Linked DNA regions of Stegostoma tigrinum. The main gene of each other region encodes a partner of the protein of the gene in region 2 in a complex. Links are inferred from orthologs where the notes say so. Each region holds a gene or a part of one and is shown on either strand. Other genes may lie near its edges. The genes, in order: mapk8a, atf2 and mapk10.

Region 1 (3,752 bases), on a different chromosome or scaffold from region 2:
GAGCGCTATTCAATTCACTATTTCTTTTCAGAGGTTGATTTTGTGCCTATTTGTCACAAATGTTCAACATTACTGTTGGATGATTAAATCCTTGTGTATGCTTTAACAATGACCTTGCACACTTCTCATGTAAGCAATGGATTCATGTTTTAAATGTAGTTCCTCGTGAATGTTCAAAATTTCCCACACCAATAACAAACCATGAAGGGGAAATGGTAAGTTCATGACAGAAATGAAATGTTGGCTGTGTCCATTGTTATTTTAAAAGAGCATTACCATTAAGATGGAATTGTAGATGGTGCTTTTATTCAAAGGCATTTTACCAGGTTGACAAAGTGGAAATTTCTCAGAGCTTGGCTGAGGACGGGAAGGGTATGATGTGGGGAGAGACTGACGGAATAATAGAAAGTGAGGATAAAAAAGGGAGAGAGACAGAGAGAAAAAGAGAATAATAAACAAAAAACGATAAATGCAAAATTGGAGAGACAGAATGGGAAAAGACAAGAGGGATAAAAACAGAAAGTGAAAACTGCGAAGGTGGAGAGACAGAATGGGAAAAGACAAGAGGGATAAAAACAGAAAGTGAAAACTGCGAAGGTGGAGGGACAGAATGGGAAAATAAAAGAGGAACATTATTGGCTGCTGGTCCCCCCCCCCAACCCCGGCGCCGGCTCTGATCAGGCTGGAATCGAGTGACAGTGCGCGTTCACTCGCTCTGCCGCTGGGCGACGGACACGCGCCTGACTACTGTCGGGGGCGCGCACGCTCGGTTGACGTAGTTTTATTTTGCGCAGTCGGTGAGCGGGGCCGCTGTCGGTGGATCTGTTGCTGGGTTTTTGTCTGTGTCCGGCGCCGGAACGGGTGAGGATATGGGGACAAACAGGGGGGTAGGGGATATGGGTAGGGGATAGGCGGTAGGCGGTATGCGGTATGGAGACAAACAGAGGTAGGAGGTAGGGGGTAGGGGGTAGGGGGTAGGGGGTAGGGGGTAAGAGACAAGGGACAAGGGACGAACAGTTGGGGAGGGGTTAGGGGACAAAAACTGGGGTAGGGTCAAACAGTGGGGTGGGGGGTAAGGGGCAGACAGTGGGGGAGGGGATATGGGGAAAACACTGGGGTAGGGGACAAACAGTGGAGGGGGGTTTGGGGAGGAGGACAAGCACTGGGGGAGGGTTTTGGGTCAATCACTGGGATTGGGGGTAGGGAACAGGGGGACAAACAGTGGGGTATGGGGACAGGTGTAGGGAACAGGGGGACAAACAGTGGGGTATGGGGACAGGTGTAGGGAACAGGGGGACAAACAGTGGGGTATGGGGACAGGTGTAGGGAACAGGGGGACAAACAGTGGGGTATGGGGACAGGTGTAGGGAACAGGGGGACAAACAGTGGGGTATGGGGACAGGTGTAGGGAACAGGGGGACAAACAGTGGGGTATGGGGACAGGTGTAGGGAACAGGGGGACAAACAGTGGGGTATGGGGACAGGTGTAGGGAACAGGGGGACAAACAGTGGGGTATGGGGACAGGTGTAGGGAACAGGGGGACAAACAGTGGGGTATGGGGACAGGTGTAGGGAACAGGGGGACAAACAGTGGGGTATGGGGACAGGTGTAGGGAACAGGGGGACAAACAGTGGGGTATGGGGACAGGTGTAGGGAACAGGGGGACAAACAGTGGGGTATGGGGACGGGGGACAAACAGTGGGGTATGGGGACGGGGGACAAACAGTGGGGTATGGGGACGGGGGACAAACACTGGGGTATGGGGACAGGTGTAGGGGACGGGGGACAAACACTGGGGTATGGGGAGGTTTTGAGGTCGCAACGGTGAGATGGAAGGGTTTAACGGTTAGAGGAGGTGAGGGACAGAAGGAGAGCGAAGCAGAGGTAGTTGGTGGGGCACAAGGTCTGGTGGTGAAAGACTGAGGGAGGTTGTGGGCAGCAAGGGGGGGGACTCTGTTTTACAGCTACAATTCGACGGCACCCTTGGTGGCGGGGGGGGGTGGTGTTGTGTGTTTTAAATACCCCCTTCCCTGGGCCTTGTGATTGTATGTTTAAACGCCCTGTCCTTGAGGCAGTGTAACTCCTTCCCCCACACAGCAGCTTATCTCCTGCTGCTTTGTCAGAAGTCTCCTATCCGGGTCTGCCAGGAGAGACACTGTCGATATTTCCCACTTAACATGCTGAGGGAGATGTAATGACACCTCTGGAGCAGGTGGGTTTTGAAAGGTAGGGACTTGGATGAAACCCATGTTTTAAGTCTGTCTCTACAGCTGGTTTATCCTGGAACAGGGCTCTGGCCTCTTCCCAGTGGGCTGTGGGCTCCACTCTGCAGTCAGTCTAACTAGGTGACTCCCAGCTTGACATTCCCCAAACCCTTTTTTCCCTGTTGATAGAATTCACAGTTTGATGTTTTGACCACATAAGCTGTCAAGTGGTACTCGATTTGGATCTTTTGACTCAGAGTCGAAGGGGTTCTCTGCCCAACACAACACTCTCCCTTAACCCTGTCCCACAGCGGTCATCTTTTTCTGTCTTGCTTAGCCCCTACTCTCCCCATATATTTCCTGTCACGTCTCTTCTTTCTCCCCCCCCCATGTGTCTCTGGTTTTGTCTTGTGTAAATACCACAGACATCCTCCCGCCACCAGCTGGGACTCCCCCCCCGGGACCTCCTGCACGTCCAGAGGACTCATTTAGTTTTGTCTGCTGGATCCCATCCCTCTGTGTTGGTTGCACCGTATATTTTACTCTGTGGACCGACTGTGAGAACTACCCTCAGTCCAACCAGCTTTCTACCTCAGGGCCAACAAGAGGCTCTTCAGGCACTCTCCAAGGACAAGAGCGGGAGTGATCATCCCCTTTTCATACAAATTGTGCGTAATTTTGTTTTTGCTTTTATTTCAATCCTGCTCCTACATGTGCAGGCCATTGCGAAATCCCGGATTTAATCAGTTGACTTGCAGTTTGGTGTTTGTTTGGGAGTTCTGTGCCTTTCTGTCTGTATTCTGACAGACTTTTCTCTGGTAATTGTGCCTCGCTGTATCTGCGGCGCTGGCTCTATCGGTTTGAGATTCTTTTGTTTGCTATGAAATACCCCATCACTTGCGATCTGAAGGGGAGGTGGGGAGATCGACACCCTCTTCGATTCAAACATGTTTTAGAAGTTTATTTCGGTGCCCAGGTAATTGTCATTCTCCGGTGTCGACCCAGTCTTCGGGAAATGTGGTATTGTAAACGCTTTGGAACTAGGGTCTGGCTGTATCCATAATTGCAGAGAAAATCGCCGGCGTTCTATTTATAGCATGCACTTATGTTCTTTAACACTTGGCGGATTTTATTTCAAATCCTTTCTTGGTCGACATGCAGATGCAAATTGTGTTATTGATAAAGGCTGACCTGCAAAATACACTTTAAATATCAGCGTAAAACACGTTTGAATGATCGTATTTGAGCCACGCGAGCCCCTCATTTCTCTTCACCCCCCCCCCCATCTCCTCCCCATTCCTTTGTTTGCGGGATTCAGTGTTTCACGCAATCACTAATACAAGAGACTTGCATCCTTGTTCAGGTTGTGTTGTTGGAGAAATGGTGAAAAGGTCGTGTTTTTCAGGGAGCTGAGCTTTCAGCTGCTGGTTCCTACGTTGAAAGGTTCTGTCTTTTAATTGAATTGCAATTCTTTACCGTTTTTGACTTTCTGAAATTGCAGTCAAATTTGGGATAATGCTGTCTTCTCTAGTTTAATGGTATTTTTC
Region 2 (3,752 bases):
ACATTGTATACCATCTGCCAAGTCTTTGCCCACTCACTTAATCTGTCTATATCTTTCTGTAAACTTTGTGTCATCCTCACAACTTGCATTCTCACCTATTGTTCCATATTCCCCACCTGTGCCAAACAGCGTATTGTTTGCTAATTTGGGTAGCACGGTGGCTCAGTGGTTAGCACTACTGCCTCAAAACACCAGGAACCCAGGTTTGATTCCACCCTCAAGTGACTGTCTGTGTGGACTCCCCGTGTCTACGTGGGGTTCCTCTGGGTGCTTTGGTTTCCTCCCACATAACAAAGATGTGCAAGCTAGGTGAATTGGCTCAGCTAAATTGCCCATAGTGTTCAGGGATGTGCAGATTAGGTGGGTTATAGAGAGATGGGTCTGGGTGGGATGCTGTGAGGGTTGGTTGGGCCGAAGTGCCTATTTCCACACTATAAAGATTCTATGATCTTTGATGTCTGCTGGTGGAACACAGCTCATTTTTTCTTGCCATGTTGACAGACTACTTTTCTATGGTTCCATTTGGATATGTCAGAATTTCCAGTTAGGATGACTACACATGACAAATTGTCTGTCAGAGTAGCGTAGGTGCTGGTAGACCATTAAAACAGTTCTGGTAGTGAAAGGCAGGTAGGTGCTGTGTACTGTGATCACAGTTGTTCCTTATACCACACTATTTACCATGAATTGACCAAAATTGGTTCCCACCGGTCAGTATGAAATGGCACATAGTGGTTCGTTCTTCTCATGTTACCAATAACTAATCCCCGAGAGTCCTTCCATTGACCATCGACTAACCCACAACAGCTTCTTGCGTACTAATGGATGACCCTTCACCTGACACCACCACCCTGCATGTGTCATGTGACCAGGTGACGTAGGGCCGAGGGTTCCTGGGTTGAACTCTCGCGAGGTGTCAGCTCGCTTGTCCGTGAGCAAGAATCAGCCCTTGTGGTAAGTTTGTAAACAACGATAATCAGTAATCTAGACGGCTCCGGGCTTCTTGTCATGACGTTTGGAGCGGCGTTTATTTTCACAATGAGCTCTGATCATGGGGCTGGGGTGTGTGAGCGGCGAGCCGCTCCGGGGTGGGTCTGTTCACGAACGTTATTTGTTAATATGGCGACGCTCCCCGGCCGCTGGGGCTCTGATTCCTGAGGCTTCCTTCCAGTTGGAGGAGGTTTCCTCACAGTGCAGGTTACTCCTCTTCTCTGGAGCCACACAAATTCCCGAGTAACCGCTTGTGTTGAGTAAAGGGCGGGGTCTTTCTGGTCTTGAATCGTGGTGCTCTTCTAGACGTGGACACATCTGTATGAGACGAACGGTAGAAAATCCAACCAGTGTCTCGTTTCCTCGAAAGCAGACCGGTAGTATCCTTGTCATTGGTATTGCTGTATTGTAACCGAGTCAAATCGTACATTGGGAACGTTAATGCGATTCACACAGCAAGTTGAACCAAAATTTGTAGCATCTTGTTATTGATGATGTACCGTATGAAATCCTGCACCTCAAACCAAACGAATCGCGTTTAATCTTATAATTGGTTTCAGGTTCTGAAGGAATTAATTAAGAGTCAATAATGGCTACTTCCCAGCCGTGGAAAGTATAAATACTGCTTCTGTTTCCTTCAGTAATAAACAGTTTTAAAATCCGATAGGCAAGTATATTTGTTAATGGGAAACTCGGGTGTAGGCCAAAAGTCCATACTACCTATCGACACCACTAAGGTAAATCAAAATTAAGTGACGCCAAGCTTAGTTTTCAAAATCTTGTCGAAGGAATTAAAAAAAGAATTCCACAGTTTTGAAAACAAGCATTCATCAGAAGGAAAAATACTTTGTAGGGCATGTGTTTGATACTTAGGAAACAGGAAGCAAAGTTTGAAGCAACACTAGGGTGGAATCATAGCACAAAAAAGAAACACGCTTGAGAGTGAACGGGCCTCTTGTTGTTTTCAGCAATATTAGAAAGGTGGCGGAAGGAACTGTCTAAATTGACAGCAGAATTGAAGTCTTGATTTTATTGTGTCATTGAGGGGAAAGTAATAAATGTTTGAAACATGACAGTGTAGGTTCCTACATTAAATGATGTGGGATTGCTGTTTGAAGTCACAAGAACTGTGCAGTCCAATGTTAACCGTTGACAGACAAGGACAATGGATGAAAAATCAAAAACATGGTAGCAGTACAATATATACTTGCCAGAGATTGAGGAAATGGTATGTATTTTAAAAAACTGAAAAAATAAATTGGTTCAGTGATGCTGCTTCATAGCAAAATGATTTATCTGTTGGACTTTTGAAGGACTGGCATACATTGAACGTAGAATAGAATCATGAAAAGCATGAGTGGGGGTGAATGATCAGTGTAAGTCATTGATCTGAAGATGGAACCAGATGAGGCAAATAAGAGGACCCTGGGGATTTCTTGCTTTAAGGGAAAAGGAGTCTAAGGAAGATGAATCAACTACGGCACAGATGGTAATTGAGAACTGTAAATGTATTTTTAATGGGGCTTCCAAATAAGTTTAGAAGTACATGGTGCCAGATTTCAGCAAAGGTTATGTGTTGTCTGAGCAATAACCAATGATTCAGAAAAGGATTATTTCATGACTTTAAAAATGATTACACTTTTGAATACACAATTGTTAAATGCACCCAGTAAGCATACACTTGATATATATTGATTTAACTTGGGCTGTAGATACTTGTAATCAACCCATTTAGACAAGTTATGACACACTCTGGAGCAGTTGGGAGTTGAATCCAATCCTTCTGGCTCAGAGGTAAGAACACTATCACTACATCACAAGAGCTCCCCAATTCAGGCTGTAACCTTAGCAGTTAACAAATGCAGAGGTTTGTTTTAGAATCTGATGTAATAGCACAGGAGGGGGCCATTTGGTCCATTTTGTATGTGCCAGTCAACAAAGATCTGACTACACTAATCCCATATTTGTCCATGGCCCTAGAGGTTCTGACAGTGCAAATGAATATCTAAATACTGCTTAAATGTTAGAGTTTTTGATCTGACCACCCTCTCAGGCAGTTCGTTCCAGGAAATTTTCTCGTCAACTTAGCCGTCAACCTCTTACCTTAAATCTATGCCCCCTCGTTTTTGTTCTCTGTACTAATGGAAAGAAATACCTTCCTATCAATGTCCCTCGTGATCTTGAACACCTCTATCAGGTCACTTCTCAACCTTAACTGCTGGAAGGAAAATAATTCCAACTTGTCCAGTCTTTCCTCATATACACTCTTGCACCATCCTGCTAAGTATCCCCTGCATCCTCTCAAGCAGAACAACACCCTTCCTCTAATGTGTTGATCAGACATCATACAGTGCGTCAATTGTGGCTTAATCCTCATGTTATACAATTTGAGTATAACCTCACTGCTCTTGTACTCTGTGCCTTGGCTAATAAAAGCAAATATCTAATTTGACTTACTTATCTGCAGTACTACCTTCAGGAATATGCATGTCAAGTTCTCTTTGGTCTTCGTTACTTTCCTGGTTTCTACCACTCATAGCTGTCTTTTTAGGATGGTGGAGTTTGCACGTTCTCCCCAAGGCTGCATAGGCTTCTTCCCGGTGTGTTGGTTTCCTTGTGTAGCTTGAGCTGATTGGCCATGCTAAATTGCCCATAACATCAAGGGATGTGCAGGCTAGGTGGATGAGTCATGGGAAATGTAGGGTTATGGGGAAGGGGGAATGCGGCCTGGATGTTGGTGTGGACTTGATATACCAAATGAC
Region 3 (3,752 bases), on a different chromosome or scaffold from region 2:
CAAAGACAGTGCCTCCACTTTGAAGCCCTTCCCTTCCATTCCAGCTTTCAAGCTATAATGGACTAGATCTCAACTGGATGGCTCAGCCTCACTCATAAATAAATGTGATTTTCCCTCTCAGGTAGCGGCTGATACCCATCCAGCTTACAAGCAACATTCTCAACATGCTTCTGGAACTTTGGAGACTCACAGTATTTCTACTTTTAGCACACAGCTTGCTGCCATTGCTTCCAAACTATATTCACCTGCACCTTGTTCCCAGTAAAATAAACTGTTTCTTTTAATCTTTAACAGTCAAACCACGTGCCAGGCTTGCTGTCAGGCACATTTTGGAACAGGTCACATGATCCCATTCATTTTTGCCTTAAAGGCACTGTCTCACGATATAATAATCTTATAAACTTCAGAGTGGTAACTATATACTAATCTGATTGGGTAACGAATATTCCAGTGATCCGTAAAATAATGAATTTTAATTTGGTAGAAACTAACAGCAACAATAATTGAATCGGCTGGTGTTCTCAAGGTAAACACAATACTAATGCAGTTATAAGACAGCGGGAGAATCCTCAAATAGTTAAAGTTGGTTGTGTGAGAATGAGAAAAATGTTTGTGGATGTGTATGTGCGTGTACAGGTAGGGAGAAGCCTCTTCCTCCTTGTTGTACAAGAATATTGTATAACGATTATGTTGAATTACACAAAATAATAACATTTTATTTTAATATATTAAAATTTTTGTACTGGTAATTGTACCTTTGTGCACTGTATGAATATTTATTGTGAACGAAAGTATTCTCCAACTGTACTTTGGTAACAAAATTATTATTCTGCGCATTTTCAAAACTAGTACAGTAGGCAACATTTGGCTGGAGATGCCTCAGTGCACTCTCTGTATTAATTGCTTGCTACGGCTATATAATTCGTGTGTTAAGTGCAGGTCTATGGGATAAACTGTTTTGTACTGGGTTCTAAATAAGTCATTACGGAAGCATATGGAGATACTGTCAGATTTAAAAGTCTCTCCCCCTACCCCAGACCTTCTGCGAGCTTTGACGTCATGTGTGCTCCTTTCAGTTGCCATAGAAACTTATTCCCCAGGCTCTCTGTCTGTCTCATCTGGTAGGTTCCACACTGGTACAGGCAGCATTGACTGCACAATGGTTTAACACGGGTGATGGCGGTGATTCAGCAATCTCTCCCTCCTCTCCAGCAGCTCTCTTCTCTCTCTCCTCCTCCTCCTTTCCAGGCATCCTCTCCGATCCATTGTGCATCTTTTGTGTTTCATTCTTCTTTTGCGAAAAGCAAAATGGTTTGAATCCGGATTGCAGTGGGGGGGACTGTTACCATACCAGGATTCTCTTCAGTTGGCACGGCATGGTAGGTGGTTGATACTGATGCAGTGTGCTAACCTGTTAAGGGTGGGGTGATGAATATTGATTTCAGCAAAGGTTAATGAAGTAGACCGCTAGAATTGCATGAGGAAAGCATCCCAGCAAGTGGCAGCTGGATGTAGCCTTTTTCCTCGTATTGATATGCATCCATCCGGTAACTTACTGTCATTAGAGAATGCAAAGTACATGAGTAAAATAATGCTTAAGGCTTGATGTAGTGCATGTAAATTACTGTTTAGTTAATGTTTGAAAGAGAAAACTTGAGGAATTTGATAAAAGTGAAATGAATATTTTGCAAATAGTCGGCAAGAAACATTTTACACCTTTCTAGCCTTATAGCTTGTCATATACATATACATGTAAACAACGAATTGTTTTAAAATGAATTTAGTGATGAATTAGCAAGTTTTGATATCAGTGAATCGGTTTCGGATCATTGGGGTTAATTGATTGTCTTTCAGCCTGTTCGAAGTGATAGAAATCTGGGGTCATGATTTCTGCTTTGATTCACGCATCTAATTAATCTTGTGAAGAGATTCAGCATCGGCTGAAAGAAGGATTGGAAGTGTTTTGTTCTGGCCATTCATCAGTATTGTCTGCTTGATAACATTACAAGGATCTGTAAAGGGTCACTGAACATTTATTTTTCTGACTCCGTTTGACAAAATGAGTATTCTGATCATTTTCTTGATCACATTATTTCACAATACTGTGTTACTTGCCAATTTCGCTTTAAAATTGTCTGTAAGGATAGAACGATAGAGAGGCACAAACTACCTGGGGTGCATTCTTGATTATTGCCGAGGAAGGCGTTTTATACAGTGAGGGTGTTGGTGACTTCTCTGTGTGAGAATCTCTGGAGAGAAAGGTATATGCAAATATTGCAAATGATTATGACCAAATATGGATATACACCTAGCTTGTTTAGCAAATGTGATGGCGTCTTTTTGCACAGATACAACATAAGTCTTTGTGCTCAGTTTTAAAATATAAGCTATGCAGTTCTTGCACATTTGATATTCAGAGCTGGAAATCTATTTCTCCTCTTTTCTTTAAATGAAATAATTGTGGTTAATTAGAGGAGTGGTCATGTCCTGGTATATACAAATGACGTAGAAAATACATTGAATGCCTCTGCTGTAACCTAAAGTTAAGAACACTGAGCCATTTTAGACGGCTTCGATATGATTTAATTTCTGCATATACATGGAAAGCATAGATTTTCATATTTACTTACAGGAGAACATTGTTGGTCTTCAGAAAAAAACAGTGCATGAGAATCAGAAAACAAAAACTTTAAAAATGTAAATCAGAAACATATTTGTTTATTTTAAGTGGATCTTGAATATTTTTCTGTCTTATTTTATGTAACAAATAATTAGATGCTATAGAGTTAATGGTGTAATTTGATGTAAGCATACTACTGCAGTGTATTTACCTTTAAATACTGCAGTCAAATTCAGAATCCTTGTCTTATAGCAATATTAAACAGTTCCTTAAACTTATTTTCATATTCATCCTATGGAGAATAGTGTGAATTTGGGGAAACAACTCAGTCACTGATTAATAGACCATAGCTTATGGCATTTTATTGACATTTTATGTCAATACTTTTTTCATACTAGCTGGCTGAATGATTTTCTAGGCTCCCAACTGATACAATGAGTTAAAGATAGGAAAGGGGGTGGATGACCATCTGACTTCATTATTTAAAATTGCCCCCTTGCATACGATTGGACTTGGAGCTTTGGTTTCAGCTCTATTGAATGGCCTGGAGTGGGCTTTTCATGGAATACCACCATTTAGACAAAGTTATATTTGGACAAGATTAATAAATAATATAGAAATTAAAAATTGCCAAAGAAAAATCAGTTTCACATGATCAATTTCTACAATCACATTGTCAGAGTATGATATCATTCTTAAAGAGAACTGTGACTGTAACGATTGTGATTTTGCCTGTTTCAGTTGTGCTGGAACAGATGTCACCTACTCTTCATTGTCATTACTGTATTTTAATAAAAGGTGACATTAATTTTTTTAACAATCTGTTCTGGCAGAAAAACAGCTTTCAAGAAATTTAGGTGCATTGCCTTTTTGAACATCTTCACATGTTTGAATAGATAGATGTTGAAACAAATATGAAGTTAGGAATCAGAAACGTTAATTATAAAGACCACAGTTTAGTTTTCTGCAAGAGGCACATTTTTGCCAATAGCTGAAGATGCCAGTGACAAGTTCTGTCAATTAATCAGAAATCAAGTCATGTAGCACCATATTTGGTACTAAATGCGCCTCCTTGCTACACACATTTCCAGATATGGGCAGATGGTAGGATGCCTACTCAGATAACTGGTTG

What was found.
Region 1: the proteins of atf2 (region 2) and mapk8a are in contact, whole or in part, in a crystal structure (PDB 6ZR5), measured with the Homo sapiens proteins. The link is inferred for Stegostoma tigrinum from reciprocal best matches to the Homo sapiens genes ATF2 and MAPK8. Residues at the interface, in NP_001243019.1 of Homo sapiens: Phe36, Val44, Lys48, Met51, Thr52, Leu53, Lys54, Phe55, Gly56, Pro57; in NP_001310257.1 of Homo sapiens: Asp112, Ala113, Gln117, Val118, Met121, Glu126, Arg127, Tyr130, Leu131, Tyr133, Val159, Lys160, Ser161, Asp162, Cys163, Val323, Trp324, Asp326, Ser328, Glu329.
Region 3: the proteins of atf2 (region 2) and mapk10 are in contact, whole or in part, in a crystal structure (PDB 4H36), measured with the Homo sapiens proteins. The link is inferred for Stegostoma tigrinum from reciprocal best matches to the Homo sapiens genes ATF2 and MAPK10. Residues at the interface, in NP_001243019.1 of Homo sapiens: Lys48, His49, Met51, Thr52, Leu53, Lys54, Phe55; in NP_620448.1 of Homo sapiens: Asp150, Ala151, Gln155, Met159, Glu164, Arg165, Tyr168, Val197, Lys198, Ser199, Asp200, Cys201, Trp362, Glu367.

What each region holds. Positions count from the first base shown.
Region 1 is NC_081390.1:9,555,601-9,559,352, forward strand, and holds the start of mapk8a (mitogen-activated protein kinase 8), read left to right. Parts: upstream 1-748; 5' UTR 749-861; intron 862-2,140; exon of another isoform or gene 2,141-2,213; intron 2,214-2,721; exon of another isoform or gene 2,722-2,873; intron 2,874-3,012; exon of another isoform or gene 3,013-3,181; intron 3,182-3,752. UniProt on the Homo sapiens protein: Serine/threonine-protein kinase involved in various processes such as cell proliferation, differentiation, migration, transformation and programmed cell death.
Region 2 is NC_081360.1:47,011,884-47,015,635, forward strand, and holds the start of atf2 (cyclic AMP-dependent transcription factor ATF-2), read left to right. Parts: upstream 1-882; 5' UTR 883-954; intron 955-1,019; exon of another isoform or gene 1,020-1,367; intron 1,368-3,752. UniProt on the Homo sapiens protein: Transcriptional activator which regulates the transcription of various genes, including those involved in anti-apoptosis, cell growth, and DNA damage response.
Region 3 is NC_081354.1:75,132,596-75,136,347, reverse strand, and holds the start of mapk10 (mitogen-activated protein kinase 10), read left to right. Parts: upstream 1-1,092; 5' UTR 1,093-1,376; coding exon 1,377-1,379; intron 1,380-1,526; exon of another isoform or gene 1,527-1,547; intron 1,548-3,752. UniProt on the Homo sapiens protein: Serine/threonine-protein kinase involved in various processes such as neuronal proliferation, differentiation, migration and programmed cell death.